Linked DNA regions of Drosophila melanogaster. Each later gene encodes a partner of the first gene's protein in a complex. Each region holds a gene or a part of one and is shown on either strand. Other genes may lie near its edges.

Region 1 (6,375 bases):
GCGTGTCCCCTGTTGTTGTTTCTTTTTAGTTAGGCGGCTCTATTTAATTTCTATTTTTACATTTATTTACATAAATCCTAAATTCTAATCGTATTTGATTTTAAGCCTAATTTAAAGCTCGTTTATTTTTCCAATAAATTCTCTGTAAAACTTAAACCAAACCAATCCAAAAACAAAACAAAACCAGAGTAAACGAAGAGAATAAAATAATAGAGAGGAAAGTAAAAGAAGGTAAAAGAGAGCGCGCAGTCAGCGGGCGTTTGATTTGTAATTTGTAACATAATAATGTTTGCATCAACTGCATTGACGGCCTTATCTAAACGATATAAACATAATTATTAATATTTAATTATTTAGCTTAGTTTGTTAAACGAAAACGAACCATAATTCCTAGATTTTAAGTAAAAAGCAAGGGCGCGTGAAGAGAAATCGAAACCGAATTACAGATAAAGGTTTTTAAAACCAACTAGATCGAAACAAGTTCAGCAACAGCAAAACAAAAGAACACATCAAAAAAAGAACCGAAAAATATCCATTTAAACATCCATTGAATTAGGTTTAGTTGTTTAAAAAAGATGTAATTTTTAATTACCCATAATGTATAAACGGAAATCAATCGTTAGGCAAGACCACAACAAACCCAACAAATTGTAAATACATTCTAGGCTACGGTTTTTCTAATAGATAACTAGGTAAAAACGCAAACGTAATTAACAAATTATCGATGGCAAGGAGCGATGCGAGCGCAGACAACTTGGCACACCGAAAAAATATGTTTTTATTAGTGGCGCTCGTTCATCCATTAAGAATGGCGATTCATTAGGCTCCATAGATCCATAAATCCCCTAATCCAATCTGAACTACACACAAAATAGACAAATTTTATACAATTAGCTCGATAAATCTTGTAAAATAGAGTCCCGTAAAAAAATTATAACAAATAAATTGACAACAATTGATGTAATTCAGTAAACCTAAGCAAAAAGTGAAACCATTCTAAGCAAATTCTTTGTGTGTAAAAATTAATATGATAAACAAAATGCAGATGCAACCGTAAACAGCGCATAGTTTGGTAGGCATATAACTGAATATATATATATTATTATTATTATGTTTTAACATTAAGCAAAAAAATAAAAGAAAAAATTGAGAAAACTTCAACTGAGCACGGAGAATTATTAGCTGGGAATATGCAGAATTTATTTTAGTGCGCAGTGTTTGCTTATGCATATTATTATTTTATGTCGTATGGAATATGTAACGGTATCTCAGTTAATTAGCTAGTTAAATCATTACAATTTATGTAGTTGAATTAATTAATTTTATTAATATTTTTATATTCATTTATTATGTTAATTAATCCTACTGAAACTTTGTGTAGCTCCCATAGAATGAAAATCTAACACAAAATAAATAGAACCAAATTCACGTTTGGATTCAACCAGAAACACATAACGAATTGGCAATTTTCTTAATGTCGTATTACAACTTGCTTTCTTTTTTAAATTTTAAAATTGAAATCGTGAATCTAAAGTCGGAAACCATTAGATCTTCCATCATTATTGCACTTTAATGCATCGAATAGAGTTATTAAGCCAATATTATAATTTTATTATTCAATACAATAGTAGTTTCATATCTCATTTTAATAAATTTAATAATTGTTATTAAATTATGTACCTCATAGGTTGTTATCATCAGTTTCTCACTTCAAATTTATGCGCCAACATTTCGAAGTTCATGGTAACTCTATAACAACAAAATAGTGTGACCGGACTTATGTAAGATTACTGCAGATAATACACTAGTGCAAAAAAGAATTGATATGACTAAATGAATAGACAATATAAACAAACAATAACATAATTCGTGGACTGATAAAAAGTATGTACAGCTTTAATTAATAATGTGATTATACAAATTAAGCTTTCTCCAGAGAGGCATTTGTTAGAATCACAGAAATCAAGGAAATGCATAATGAGTTTTCTGGATGACAATAATGCCTGTGGGCAGAATCTGCTGAATATAGTGTCGGTGGGTAATTCTATAATAGCAGAGATCCTGCGCCTCAAGGACTACGTGCCCAGTATTTATAGGTAACATAGATTAAAAACCTGCAATTAATGAATAATTGGTGACCACTCCTCCCCAGATTGGACAACAAAGCTGATAAGGCGAAATATGGCGAGCTTATTCTGGATTTCAGCTACTTCAAGATAGCCGAAGATCACGAGAGGAGGATCGAACAAAGTCCGGTAATTTGATGTTAATATACCCGAGACCACACCGTATTAAACACCCTGATTTCCTTCAGGAACTGACCGAACTCGATGATGAGGCACGTGCCCAGCTTCCGCTAATCACACGATTTTACCTGGCCTTCCAGAGCATCCATCACTATGCCTCCGATCTCCAGCAATATATCGAGGAATTGAACACTGGCTACTATATCCAGCAGACGCTGGAGACGGTACTTCAGGAGGAGGAGGGCCGCCAACTGCTCTGCGAATCCCTGTATCTCTTTGGTGTGATTCTCCTCATGGTCGATTTTCACATTCCGGGGGATGTGAGAGAACGTCTGCTGATCGCCTACTATCGGTATAGTGGAGGAGATGCAACGCCTAGCGGAGACGAGAGTAATATCCATGATGTTTGTCTCCTGCTCCGATCTACGGGCTATGTTCATCCGTCGATTGCCGCTAAAGTGCTCGGTTTGGGTGGCAAACAGGCAGGCGCTAGAGCTGCTAGCCTTGTGGTTCCCCGATACCCGGAGGCCTACTTCTCTCGCTTCCGTTTCGATGAGAATTTCGTGGATCTAGTGGTGGCTCGTCTGCGGTGCGATGATATATACAACCAACTGAACCTGTATCCACATCCTGCCCATCGCTCCACGGCTCTGTCTACTCAGGCGGCCATGCTGTATGTGTGCTTGTATTTCTGCCCGCAAGTTCTTCATTCCCAAGGCTCACAGATGCGCGAAATTGTGGACAAGTTCTTTTGCGACAACTGGACCATATCCGTGTACATGGGCATGACAGTGAATCTGGTGGATGCCTGGTTGGATTTCAAAGCCGCTCGATCTGCTATTGAAAATGTGATAAGTCCACCGGCAATCAAAGCACTCTGTCAGCAGCAAAAGGAGCAATTGGGCAAGATCACTCAAAAAACCCAGGAGATTGTTCGTGAAGGAGTTCTAAATGACAACTTTGTTTTGGAGCACGCCAACAAAATCATACACCTGATGAGGCAATCCAATGTCCTGCTCCGCTGGTTTTGCCTGCACACCTCAAGGGAAGTTTTCATCTTTGCTCACACAGCTACTTTGACGGGTCAAGTGCAAAAATGTGTGCTCCACGAACTACAATTCAATCGGAATACGCTGTATAACTTACTGCTTAACTGCAGCCAAATGGAGCTGAGCGTGAGGGAGTTCCTGGCAGAGATTCAGCAGACTAAGGAGGAGCGCTGGACGAAAAGCAGAGAGGAGGCCATGCAAAGGCTCAATGAGTTGAGCGAAGCCTTTGCCGGCTCCAGGCCTTTGTCCAAGATTGAACAGAATCCTCAGTTGCAGCAATGGTTTGGCGAAGTTGCTGGACGTCTCCAGAAACTGGAATTGAGCAGGCCCCAAAAGTCCGGAAGGCTGATTATTCAGGTGATGCAAGCACTGGACGATGTGCAGGAGTATCACAACCTTCATTCCAACATGCTGGTGAAGCAGCAACTACAGGAGACGCGAGACATGCTCAATCAAATGGCACAGCTAATAAACCTGAAGGAAGACATTGAGATTCACATCCAGATGATCACTGACTTCAGCTATGCTTGGCATCTACTGCAGTTTGACTTCACTCCTCCCATGCAGGAACACATCAAAAGACAGCCACAGGCGGTAATAGGTATACGAGCGGTCTTTCTCAAGTTGGCCAGCACCCTGGAGGTGCCGCTGATGCGGATCAATCAGGCCAGAAGCGAGGATCTGGTCTCTGTGTCAAACTATTACAGCACCGAGCTAGCAAACTTCCTGCGCCGCGTTCTGCAAATTGTTCCAGAGACCATGTTCAGTATTCTGGCTAAGATCATCTATCTCCTTACGAATGTTATCAAGGAGTTTCCCACTAAAGTGGAGAAGGAGCGTCTAAAGGACTATGCCCAGTTTGAGGAGCGGGCCAAGGTGGCTCAGCTTACAAACTCCATTGCTGTTTTTACGAAGGGAATTCTTATGATGAAAACAACTCTAGTGGGAGTAATCGAGCTGGATCCTAAACAACTATTGGAGGATGGGATACGCAAGGAGCTTGTAAATCATCTGGCAAATGCCTACAATCTGGGCCTAATATTTACGCCCGAGAAAGGCAAGACTCCTGTGCAGCTTCTTCAACAAAAACTGCAAGCTCTGGCGAAAACAATAGAGGGATATCGAAGATCCTTCGAATATATAGAGGACTACTTAAGAGTTCAGGGACTTCGAATCCTGCTGGAGGAATCGCAACGCATTATTAACTACAATGTGGAGAAGGAATGCAATGCCTTCCTCCGCAACAAAGTGCAGGAATTTCAATCGGAGCACCAGAGCCAGATCATACCCATTCCCAACTTTCCACCGCTGTTGGGAGATCCGTCTAACAACTTCATTGGCCGTCTGGCCCACGAAATTCTGCGGTGCACAGATCCCAAGCAAACTATTTTTCTGGATCTAAAAAGCACTTGGTATGAGAAGAAGGCTCCTCACCAGGAAGTTCTTGCCGGCTCTGGATTCTTTGAGATACTTAGAGAAGCCTTGGCTCCGGCAGGAATGGTGGGATTGGAGCGCCTCTACGCTCACATGTTGGCTGATGAGTTAAAGCGCAACTTGGAACGGTTACAGCGTAACCTGACCTCGGATCGTATGTGGGTGGATACGTTAGCGGCACTGACTCGGGAATTGGAGGCCCGGGACTTCCCAACTCCGGAGGTGTCCAAGCAGCCTTTGAAGTATTATCAAGCTTACACCCAACGATGGCTGAAAGTGTGGCCCACGCTGTTGGATTGGGTTTTGTGCATTGGACAGAAGCAGCTGCTCCGCAGAGAAATTGCAGGAGAGCTAAGCTTTAGCAGTAAATGTGATGCCAAGTTGCTGGAGAACACGGCGGACACCCTGAACAAGTAAGTCAAACTATAACATCCTAAAAATATTTATATATTTGCAATCTCTTCCGCAAACAGAGCCCTTTTACTAGAACTGTCTCTCAGCAAGGATCTCTGTGATGAAAAGGGTGTGGTCATGTTGACAGAACTGCAGGAAACCCTGCTCTATACGGGAAACTTTGAGCCCCTAGAGCAAGTCTTCCTTATCACAAAGAACACCCATAACATGGCCCTCTTTATGTTTCTTTTCACCATTGCCCATTTGGGTCGTATGCAGCATTCCACGATTACCGATTGTCTGTTGCCAAAATCAGCCAAAGATAACATTGATAATGTGCCTTTTATTGTGGGTCTAGTAACGATCTTGCAGCAGTTCCACAAGAATGTCAAGATGCTGTATATATCCTACATGAGTCAGTACGTGGTGACTGTATCGGAGGCTCAGTTACTGTAAGTACTTTAGTTACAAGATAATCCACGAATATCAGATGACATACACTTTTCTTTATTAGGGATAAAGAAATCCTGGGTCCCGAGGTGGTCACCGCCCTGCACTTTCTTCTAGCCTTTATACGCATTGCTCGTTTGCCACTCGGAGTTCTGGAGCAGCGCATTCCCAACATAATACTTAGCGAGTACGAGTATTTATCCACACTGCTAAAATGAAAACTAACCAACAGGTTTGGGCTACACAAACTTTAATAAATCCGAAACATAACAAGGAAATGCCTCGCTGAGGTACAAGAGGAGATTGTAGTTGGATGGGTTGGTAATCTCAGTGTTCCTTCGCTGACAGGAACTCTTTACGTGATAACCGTTGGAGCGTTGCGTCCAGTGAACTTGGGCAGCTGAGAGATCTCCAGGGCGATGTCGATCAAGGGTTTCAGCATCACGCTGGCCTGGCCCAAAACATTCTCCTTCTCATAGGAATCAATGTACAAGCTGAAAAGGAACAATTCATCTATTATTGAAAAGAATTGTTTGATATTAAATCTCATCGTGACTCACCGAACGGTTGCTCCCGAGCTTCCAGTTCCACTGAGGCGCACCACAATGCGGCTGCCATCCTCGAACACAATGCGCAGACCCTGTTTCGTGGCCACCGACTTGTCGACAGGATCTGTGTAGCTGAAGTTGTCGGCCTCCTTGACCTTGTAGGTTTTTCCGCCGCTGGAATAGCTCTTGCCGACGAACTCCGGAGCAGTTATGGTCTTCTCCATGGTGGCCACCATCTCGTTGCAAGGATCGGAA
Region 2 (6,205 bases), on another chromosome or scaffold:
TCGAGGGACTGGATGTGGTCAAGAAGATCGAATCTTATGGATCGCAGTCTGGCAAGACCTCCAAGAAGATCATTGTGGCTAACTCTGGTTCTCTTTAAGAAGGTGCGATGCAAAAGCAACAGCAACATTGCAAGAAGAAAAATCTGTTAAGACGAAAACCATTTGCATTTTCTCCAAAACATTTTTTTTTACCAATTACTGTACTGTAATATTACGAGAAAAATACATAACAAACCAACATATTTTCAATAGACATGTTGGGTTTCCTTTGGCCAATCAATTGTATGTGGGGGCCAAAAGTGAATAGAATTAGTGCCCACCAATGTCAGAAAGCGTTCAATTGGCTATATAATATGCATTAAATCTGTAACTTTAACATTTCCATTCACAAAAAAAAAAACAAAGAAGAAAAACAATGAGACGACAAGAGTCGAGAGGGGCTTAGAAAAATGTTTGATCTTTTGATGTTGGCTTACTTACTACTAATAATAGTATTAGTAATGCTGATTATCTAATTGCATATATATATATATATACCAACGTTCTACGCTATGTACCGGAATCGGAATTGTATTTTCGTCTTAATAAATCTGAATAAACGGCAACCAACTACTCAATTGTTTGTTGTCACTGCTGGGATCTTTGGTTTTGGTAAATGGACATATTTTATTGGAAGAATATTTCGGAGCTACTCAAGGTGGCGTACAATAGATTGTATTCATGCTCGTAGGCGTTCACATGTCGTTCGGTTATCGCCACTGTCTGGTGAAGCTTCTCGTCCAGCTGCTCCGGCGCCGTCCGCTGCTGGCCCGCCAAAATGTCGCGCACCTTGGAGCGCTCCGCGTTCAGGTGCTGCGTGATCGTCTGGCTCCAGCCCAGCTCATGGAACTCCGTCTGCTGGTTCAGCATGTTGAGGATGTAGACCAGGCCGATGGCGAAGCCATCCTCGAACAGCGAGATCTTGGTCTGGTCCTTTTTGTAGATCTTTAGCTTCTGCTTGACCCGGTAGTCAATGTAGTTCATGATGAGCGCCGGTGTGATGAGGTAGAAGGTTCGCAGGTGGTGGTTATGTGGATTGCACAAAAAGGGCTGAAAGCCTTGCAGAAGAAGCTGCAATATAAATCCATGGGTTAAGCTGGTTACCTAACTTGTTAAGATCGTAGACTGCACCTTGAAGTAATTTGTGCTATCGGAATAGCACTCCTTCATGTGACCCAGGCTCTTCTCGTACTCCCTGATGGAACCCTCCGTAGCCTCGTGCACTTTGGAGCCCCCGCAACTGAAGTTGCTGTCGAATCTGGTTTTATACGAGCGATTCCGGAAGTTGGCATTCTTGCTTCCAGCCTGCAGGAGGCGCACATAGCCAACAGCGTTGCCTAAAAGCAATATTTACGTTTATATTTTAAGCATTTTCTTGAATTATGGTCTTTAACCACCTACCGACTTGTGTGATAACCTTCCTGAAAAGATCCATATACGTCTCGCCATTGCTGGAGCAGCCTAGCCTTCTGATCTTCTTAAGAAAACTATCGGCGCGCTCATAGGGATACGACTGATAGGACTTGCTGTGCTTGTGCTCCGTGTGAAAACGCAGCTCCTTGAGCAGCCGCGACTTGATCTGCTCGTCGTGGAGGAAGGTGGAGAAGGTGTAAAACTTTTGGCGCAAAAACTGGTATATAAAGTTGACGGTGGTGTTGATGATACCGGTGCCGTGCGTCTGCACCGAGTTGGCCACGTGCCGGGTGCCAATGATGTCGAGGTGCTTGCTCCTGCTGTTCGTCTCCACGAACACCTGCAGGTTCATGTTGTAGGCATACGAGGAGGCGAAAGTGTGTATATTCCGCATGATCTGCAGCACGTCTATGCCCTTGAAAGTGGGAAAGAATTGTTTGGTTAATAGAAGAGATTGCTTATTGATGATTCAATTGGTTACCTGGTCAATTATCTGATTGGGCAGGTGGTCATCGATGGGTTGCAGCTGCAGCACCTTGTTGGCCAAATGACGCATCTTTTCATACGATTTCCAGTCGTGCGGAGCGATTGTCGTTAAGTTGTAGAACGTGGCAGTGAAATAGTTCTCAAGATGATCTAAAATATGTTAATGAATGGCATGATCTCTCAGTTTTGTAACCGATATCTTACCTTTTATAATATTGTAATCACCATCGTTTTCAACTGCAACTGCATTGATGCAGAGACGATAGTCTAAGGCACTTTGCTGGAATGGTTGATCCTGGCTCTGGAAGAGATGCGAAAGGGCCTCCACGCGCAGAAAGAACTCCAGGTGGTTGCTCAAAAACTCAATGATCAAGTCATTCGCTGATTGCTTGGGACACCTTGAACCCCTGAACATGGCCATGATCTTGTCCAGATGATGGCTCACCGACACGAGGTTCTGCCGATGATAAATGGCATAAACATGAAGTTGCTTTGCCAGAAACTGAGTAAGAAACCAACCTGCAAGGAGTAGGGATTGCGTTGGAGTTCGGTGTACTCCTTAAGCACCGAAGTGTCCAGAAACCAGTGATTATATACCAGACTCGAGGACTCCGACGTGTTAAGTTGTCCACCAATATTCCGCATAATGTCGCTGATACTATTAACACGATGTAGGATCGATTTGATCAACTTTTGATTGTCGGCGGGCAGGAGGCGATTATCTAGAAACTCCCCGAGGGCTAGATTTACGAAAGTCAAACGTTGCTTGCTCGGAAATCCCATAATGGACTTCTCGGCCAGCTTTATTGTGGCCAAAAAGTTGATCTTGCGCTGCAGCAACTTGAGGACAACTATCTTCTTTTTCGTTGTGTGCAGCAGGTGTATGACCTTTTGCTTCTGCCATTGTATCAGTGAGCTGATAAAGCGCACGAAATTGATTTGGTTTGACTCAAAGGTCTTCTGAATGACCTTCAGGTACTGCAGCAACCGAGAGACGACGATCCAATCGTTTCTGGTCATGGGCGTCATCAGAGCCACGTGCCGATTGATCAGCGCGACTGCCAGCAGGTTAACTTGATCGGCATAGGAGTGTCCATTGAGAATCAACTGCAGAAAAGTCTTGAGGTGTCCAAAGACTCCCACATCGAATACCCTTTGCATTTGGATGGACCACAGCGATAGTTGGACGCCCAATTGGCGACAGGTCCTCTGATCGCTAAGCCTAAACTTCTCCAATACTGTGCTATGAACTTTTGGGCCTTGTCCATCTTGCGATCGGGCTGAAGACTTCATCAGGGTTTTGGCATGTAGAGAGAGGAATCCGGAAGGCGACCAGAAAACGCTTCGGTTGAGAGGCACCTGCTTATGCCTGGCCACCAAATCGATCACATTCTTGACCAGTTTTCCCTCCATCTGGATGCCTAGCTCATGGACGACGACCACGAAGGTGGTAAGTCGAATAATGTGCTTGGGATCCTCATAGTTTTTAAGTTCGTTACTCGGATTCGCGTCGACGTCGAGAAGCTGCCTACGAATATAGGCATTGGAATGCTGGGTGATGGGGCTAACACTATTCAGGCCAAATTGCTTCTTCAATTCCATCAAATTGTCCAGTAGAATCTGTTTGGAAATATCCATGAAAGGGCGGTTACCATTCACGTTTTTCTTTGACTTACCCGAAAGAAATCCTTGGTGATCAGATTCTCTATATCCATTAGCGATGTACTAAGGCCATTGAGCTCCAAGTTCGCTGATTGGCTATTGGATAGGTTCATCAGCCACTTCTTGTACAGCGCCCACATGGTGGATATCTTCGATTGGTTCGCCAGTTCATTGAATACCACTATGTGTTCCAGTAACTCACTCATTGCATCAAAGACAGCCTGCAAGTTTCGACTTCAATTGGTTACTACACTTGAGATGTGAGTTCGATCGTTGACTTACGAATATGTGGACTTCATTGATGTCCATTGGGACGCTAACAGATGCGGCTATTTGTCTCCAAAGGTTTTGGAGTATCACAATCATGCGATTGAGCAAGAAGTAAACCTGGCAGAAGAAGTCCATGGAGCTGCTCATGCGGACCAAGGATCCCTCCAAGCCGGCGGAACCCTCGGATGTGTGGGTATGTGGCGGGAGCGTATCATCTAATCGAAAGTCGCTGAAAAGGAATGCCAGCTGGAACCGTTTTGCCTTCCTGGACAGATTTCTGCACTGATTGCACAGATTCGCCAGAGTTGTCAGCGGTTTATTGGCCACCAGCTCCGATTCCTCAAAGCTTCTGTCCGGAGCCATGGAATCGTTGCCCATAAAGTTTACCTCGACCACGGGCGACATATATACACACTGTGCAGACTCGGAAACATCCCGATTAGGCACTTTATCTCGCAATAATTTCAATTTCCCATCGTGCTCCGATATGAAGGAGCCGTAATCCCGTAGGATATCCTCGGCAAACATAGCTGAAATAGAAAATATATAGATAAGAATAGTATTCCATAGCTGATATCGGCGTTTTCATACACATAGAGCTTTGCTCTTCCTTCATGTCTACCAATTTTAAAAATATTATTGTTTTGGTTTTCTCATGGCAAATTTAGGGATGGGGCATTTCAAGTGGGTGGATTCCGATTCGATAACGCTAAATTCTCGATATCTTTTGTTTAAACAAGCGTAGTTAAAACCCAAAAACTGTGTAAAATCGAAAATCGCGATTAATTGAATGGAAAAGTTGGTAGCATGTCTATTCCGATAAATGATTTATTTATACAATTTATAAGCAAAAATAATCCTCAGATAATAAATTCATTTTATTTATATAAGAAGCAATATAAATTTTTGATTCAAGAAACAGCGGTAAAAATACATAATCGTAATGACTATGAATATATGCAATACCTAGTTTTCATTCTGACTTAACAAATTAAATCAATTTCTATAAGTTTGGTTATCGATTTCCAAGGATTAAAATCGTACTCCTTGACACGAATACCTGTACGTCGCAGTCTATTTTTAAAACAAGACTTTTGTCCATAAACAAATTTAATTTTGATATTTAAGTTTTGGACTTAAATGTTTTGTAGAATAAGTTATTTCGGATGTCTTATCATAGAAGTTTTGTTATCGATAACAAAAGGCTTGTCGTGTATAAGGGCCCTAAACAGCGTGTATGCATTAGTGTATGTGTACACACAAGCGTTGATGTTCCGTTTCCATTCGTTCCACTGGCCTTACAAATGCCGAGCAATAAAATCGCGTCGTATTTTATAAGTCATTGCAGGAATTATTTAATTTGAGCCTGAAAGCAGTTTGACCAACTGACTAGGCAAATTTGGTTGTGTACTACTAAAAATTTATAGGAATAATTAGTACGGCATGGAAACGTCTGAAATAGGTTGATTACCAAATTGATTCTTAATGGAAATTCTTGTTTAACCATTTTATACACTTAATTTTCAGAAAAGGCCGGCGGCGACGAAGCCGAGACCTTATCCGAGCCACTCGAGAAGACCACAACAGACACGGCCGCAAAAGCGGAGCTAAAGGAAATTCAAGATACCAATCCCGACGCAACCAATTTCGAGCCAGTATTGCCAGAGAAGAGCAAGAGCAAGTCTCCTTCGCCGGCACCCAAGAATGGTGATGATAATGCCGAGGCCATCGCCGATCGCTCGCGTAGTCGCAGTCGCAGTGCTACCAGGAAGAGCGCATCCCGCTCCAGAAGCGGATCCCATAAGTCCCGCAGCGGATCGGTGCACTCGGCAGCCAGTGGCCGGCGTTCGCGCAGTGGCTCCAAGCAGTCGCTAAACGGTTCCCGGCGGTCGCGGAGCGGCTCCGCTCCGTCCCGCAGTGGCTCCCGTCATTCTGGCGCAGCACCGGGATCGCCTGCTGGATCCAGACGTTCGCGCAGCGGCTCTAGACGATCCCGCAGCGGTTCTAGACAATCCCGCAGCGGCTCTAGGCGTTCCCGCAGTGGATCTAAGCAATCGCACCGCTCACGCAGTGGGTCTAAGCGATCCCGCAGTGGATCACGTCGCTCCCGCAGTGGCTCTAGGCGATCCCGCAGTGGGTCTAAGCAATCCCGTGGTGGATCGCGCCGCTCCCGCAGTGGGTCTAAGCAATCGCGCAGTGGATCACGTCGCTCTCGCAGTGGATCTAAGCGATCTCGCAGTAGGTCCGGTTCTAGACGCTCAAATGCATCGCGGAGCGGTTCTCGACGTTCGCGAAGCGGCTCTGTATCTAGACGATCTCGCAGTGGATCTGGATC
Region 3 (4,316 bases), on another chromosome or scaffold:
TCCTGGCCGTCCTTCAGTCCCTCCTCGTAGCCCAAACGTGCCTCCTTCTCCTCGGTCAGGACAATATCGTCAAAAAGATCGTTTATATCCCGCGACGGACTTGTCATTATATGTGGTTTCACCGGATTGCTTGTAAAAGCTCTCCTCTAGTGTAGTAGTCCTTGTCCTTGTCCCTGATTGTAACTCCAGATATTTGGCAGCTTCTCTAACTTTAATATTTAAATTCGGTGGATATTTCAATTTGTTTTTACCCGAAATGTGATTCCACTGCGGCATTTTACAGCACTGGCAGAGAGCAACACAACAGCGCTGTTAAGGATTTAACAGGGAAATTCGTTTATTTCAAATAGGAAAATAGCTGTTATCTAAAACTAGAATTTAGTGTTTTATTATAATTTAATATCGAGTTTATTTTAGTCAGTATAAAGAATTGTTTTATTTCATTTAGCATCACAAAATGTTTCATTGTCCTGTAATTTTATCAATTAAAGTTAGCCAATGTTCTCAATAAGAAATTACACACATTTCTGCTAATATGTAGTTTTATTCAACTGGTTGACTTTGACCTAATTTGGCATGCTCGCTTGGGCACAGAATTTGGAATTCGTTTTAGAAATTTGTATGCTTTAAGCTAGAGAACCTAGGTTGCTAGTGCTTTAAGCCAGCCAAGGCACTTAAACCGGTACTAAAGCTAAATATTCACTAGTTCCACCCATCCTCGTCGTCCTCGGAGTGTTCGTCACTCGACTTAGATCCCTTGCGGGGCTGCACCGGCGGCGGTATGACGCGGGAGAGCTGCTGCATCAGGGGATTGCCAGCAGTGGCCTCCACGGGATTCTGGCTCCCAGAAATTCCCTTGCGTCGCAGCATTAGCTTGTTATGCAGGTCTGCCATCAAATCCCCCGTGACAGCGCCTCCCGCCTTGGAGCGACTGTTGTCCACCACGTCGAGCGGCGCAGCCGCAGGCGACCGCAGACGACCGCCATGCACTCCACCGGCGTTTCTTATGGCGGCCATAAGCTCAGATCGCGGATCTTCAGTAGCTGGAGGCGGCTGCGGCATGTTAAGAGGTGTTGCTAACGACGGGGAGAGCGGTTTCACAGCTCCTTTGGTGGGAAAGGGTGGCGGTGATGGAATTGCGCTCGTCTGCGCTGGTGGAGGAGGTGGAGGCGGCGGTGGTGGCGGAGGAGGAGGCGGTGGTGCCGCCGTAACTGGCGAAGGACATTGTCCCACACTCTTCCTACGCACCGGTCCCGGAATGTGCGTCTGTGCCGCGATGGCTTGCACTATTATATCCTGCTCCTCGAGGCCCAAATCCGGCAGCTCTGGTAAATCACCGAACTGCTGGGAAGGCGCTATTGGTGTTTGCTCCTCCACTGGCTCATATTGCAGATCATTCGCTATGCCCGGTAGGTCGGGCAGGTCCAGCGGAACATCAATGGCGGGTGCAGCCAAAGCAGCAGGATTGTAGCGCAGGTCCCCAGCTGGAGTGGCCAGTTTGGTGGTGCCGTGGGCCAGCGAATGAGGTGCCGGAGCGAGCTGCTTTTCTCCCGTGAGTTGAGTGGACTGACTGGCAACGCGTCGAGCATTTTGCGGCGGTAGGGATCGCTTCCAGGCATTCAGATCCTCGCCGTAGGCGAACTCATTGGTATTGAATCGCATGAGCGAGGGTACGGAGCGCACTCCACCCGCAGGCAGGATGCCCAGGCCAGCGGTCCGATTGGTTATCTTCCGTTCGGCGACCAGTGGCGATTCCTGCTCCCGATCGCCACGTACATGGAAAAAGATGTCCGCATCATCCGGCTTCTGGTCCGCGGCACTGTGACTGCTGTACGTCCCTTGCGGGAGCTGGTCCACTTGCTGCTCCATTAGGGGATTGGCTGCCACCTGTGGAAAGGTGGCTGGCAGCGGTGCCAGGACGTCGCTGGCCGGAAAGCGGGCGGGTGCAAAGATCTGGATGGCCCGCTTGGAGCCAACGAGCGCATCGATTTTTGCCTGAGCGCGCTTCACACGATTGTTTATGTCCTCAACCTTTGAACCATTTCTCGCCAAGCGGGCATCGATTCGCTCGAAAATCGAGTTTATGGTTTTGTGTAGACAGTCCAGGGACTGGGCTGCTTGGATTATGGTATCCTCGTGGTGCAGGTCGGTGGCTATAATGGCCACCTGGTAGGGGCTGTGCAGGTAAGGTGACTCCTCCATTTTTCTATCGCCAAATAATTACATATTTATTTGCAATTTTACTGCTGTTCATGGTAGTGTGACCAACTCTAAAAGCTTTACAAGATGTTAAAAATGATTTGGTTCAAAGTAATAATTAAATGGATTTCTTTTAAAATTACGAAACCTCAGATTAACTAACCCCTAGCTAAACGAAACACCAGTCAACTGAACCCTCAGTTACACTAACTCCCACGTAAATTATCATTCAGGTAAACTAGACCCCAGATAAGCTAACCAGATAAACAAACCACCAGGAAACAAACTAACCTTCAGATAAACTAACCCTCAGATAAACTGCGGTGTCTCCCAAAACTATTACTGTTAATAAAGCAGTTAAGGACACGGATCGGCTGTAGTACTTCTACTAGAGAAGGCGGCATTTTTAAATACCTTTCAAACTCATCCCACTGTTAGGAGAACTTTTTTAATCAGGGGATCATTTATTCAGGATCATTACTAAATTAGGCAAATGTAAGCCTATAAGCACGCCATTCCGGAGCACGGAATTTGGAATTCACTTCCAAATGACGAAAAAATAAATAAATAGAAAACGTCCATATGTTCAAAAATCCACCGTTCCTCCATCGACGCTAGGGTAGGGTAGTGTGCCCAAATCAATTGTTAAAAACTGTTCATTAAATGATTTGCTTCAAAGTAATAATTGAATGGGTTCAATTTAAAGAAAAACTCAAAATAAATTAAAATAATTCAAATACACTTATATTTCAACCAAAAAAAAAATTTATTAACAACTAAAGGAAAGGCGTTAATTTTTAGTATGTTTTGAGCTGAGGAACTTGGTAACACTGCAAGAAGCGACACGGCAGCAAAATAAATATCAATTCAGTTCATTGGTAATTCTTAGTTAAATACTCACAAATCAAAAATGGACAAGGTTGTCAAATTCGCCGAACCCGGACGCGCCTTCGCCAAGGACTCAATCCGCCTGGTGAAGCGCTGCACAAAACCCGACCGCAAGGAGTTCCAGAAAATCGCCATCGCCACCGCCGTGGGCTTCGCCATCATGGGCTTCATCGGCTTCTTCGTCAAGCTGATTCACATTCCCATTAACAACATCATCGTGGGATCCTAGAAAGCGGCAGGTGGCCCCCGGACCGGAAAGAGATTACATGTAGTTCACGATTCCACGCGCATCTTTAGCGAAATAAATGCCCCTTCTTCGGATTTTATACACACAATACAATGTAATATCTTTGGCTTGGGTTTGAGATAAGAAAGTCTGGTTATAAATTGGGTGCTTGGAGGGTGTGCTCAAAATGTTGTAAATATATTTCCGAATGCAACTAAGCCAAAATTCAACAAAATCTTAGCTTATCATTCAGCAACAAAATGGCATGTATTGTACTATTTCATTCATCTAGGTCGAGTTGCTTATTTTGAATCGTTCTTCCAATTGACAATGTTTATATTTTGTTATTTTAACATAGAGATGATTTAACATTAAATTCTACATTGTACAATGGCATGTATTTGGGTTCGCCTAATATTGCTTTAAAATTAGAAGATTTTAATTCTGTTATAAAAATCTTTCTTTAACCTTAAAAATAATTTTATATGTGTTGTATGCCTTTTTAAAATTACTGTTTTAGCCATCGTTTTGTTCTGCGACACAATTGCTTTTTCTTAAAAATTCCTAAACAAAGAAGCAACAATTTTTTTACAAAATATAAGCTAAATTTTATAAATTGATGGTCACACTTTTCCTTTTAAGTCGGGGATCGGTTATCGAATAAATTTTAAAACATGGCAGCGCCCACTAAGTTATTTGATTTTAAACGCGAATTTCTTACAACCTGCTACACGCCGAGTGTGTATTAGAGCACATAAGACGAGGGGATATCCAGCCCTGGAATTTTGAACTGCCACGACGAGTTATTCGAGCTCGGATATCTTGCTGTTCACGAAGCCCATCTATCTATATGGAATTGGTAAGTACCACCATTTGCGACTTGGGCTACGGTTAAAGCTCACACGTCGCCTTTTTAAGTTATTAATACATTAATGAAATATACATAGTATACTTACTTATTTTCCCAAGCAAATTTAGCAATCCGTGCATATATTTATGTCTT

Evidence for each region. Proteins that work in one complex are often made in the same cells at the same time.
Region 2: Strump (region 1) and SWIP share a complex: the UniProt entries of both Drosophila melanogaster proteins name them as parts of the WASH complex.
Region 3: Strump (region 1) and wash share a complex: the UniProt entries of both Drosophila melanogaster proteins name them as parts of the WASH complex.

The regions. Positions count from the first base shown.
Region 1 is NT_037436.4:16,120,210-16,126,584, forward strand, and holds Strump (strumpellin), read left to right. Parts: upstream 1-1,792; 5' UTR 1,793-1,884; exon of another isoform or gene 1,885-1,936; 5' UTR 1,937-1,977; coding exon 1,978-2,096; intron 2,097-2,152; coding exon 2,153-2,255; intron 2,256-2,314; coding exon 2,315-5,142; intron 5,143-5,202; coding exon 5,203-5,574; intron 5,575-5,636; coding exon 5,637-5,790; 3' UTR 5,791-5,843; downstream 5,844-6,375. Other genes in the region: Pgm1 (phosphoglucose mutase 1), read right to left, coding at 5,928-6,066, 6,133-6,375. UniProt on the Drosophila melanogaster protein: Acts at least in part as component of the WASH complex which may regulate wash nucleation-promoting factor (NPF) activity and is required for its membrane targeting during endosomal sorting.
Region 2 is NC_004354.4:16,312,075-16,318,279, reverse strand, and holds SWIP (strumpellin and WASH-interacting protein), read right to left. Parts: upstream 4,572-6,205; 5' UTR 4,462-4,571; intron 4,401-4,461; 5' UTR 4,399-4,400; coding exon 3,883-4,398; intron 3,822-3,882; coding exon 3,615-3,821; intron 3,559-3,614; coding exon 2,458-3,558; intron 2,396-2,457; coding exon 2,143-2,395; intron 2,089-2,142; coding exon 1,934-2,088; intron 1,868-1,933; coding exon 1,441-1,867; intron 1,377-1,440; coding exon 1,171-1,376; intron 1,111-1,170; coding exon 667-1,110; 3' UTR 530-666; downstream 1-529. Other genes in the region: Cyp1 (cyclophilin 1), read left to right, coding at 1-98; CG9915 (uncharacterized protein), read left to right, coding at 5,314-5,332, 5,398-6,205. UniProt on the Drosophila melanogaster protein: Acts at least in part as component of the WASH complex which may regulate wash nucleation-promoting factor (NPF) activity and is required for its membrane targeting during endosomal sorting.
Region 3 is NT_033778.4:12,178,587-12,182,902, reverse strand, and holds wash (washout), read right to left. Parts: upstream 2,411-4,316; 5' UTR 2,363-2,410; intron 2,281-2,362; exon of another isoform or gene 2,278-2,280; 5' UTR 2,203-2,277; coding exon 703-2,202; 3' UTR 530-702; downstream 1-529. Other genes in the region: CG13175 (uncharacterized protein), read right to left, coding at 1-107; CG8860 (uncharacterized protein), read left to right, coding at 3,110-3,316. UniProt on the Drosophila melanogaster protein: Acts as a nucleation-promoting factor by activating the Arp2/3 complex to induce actin polymerization. Participates in both linear- and branched-actin networks.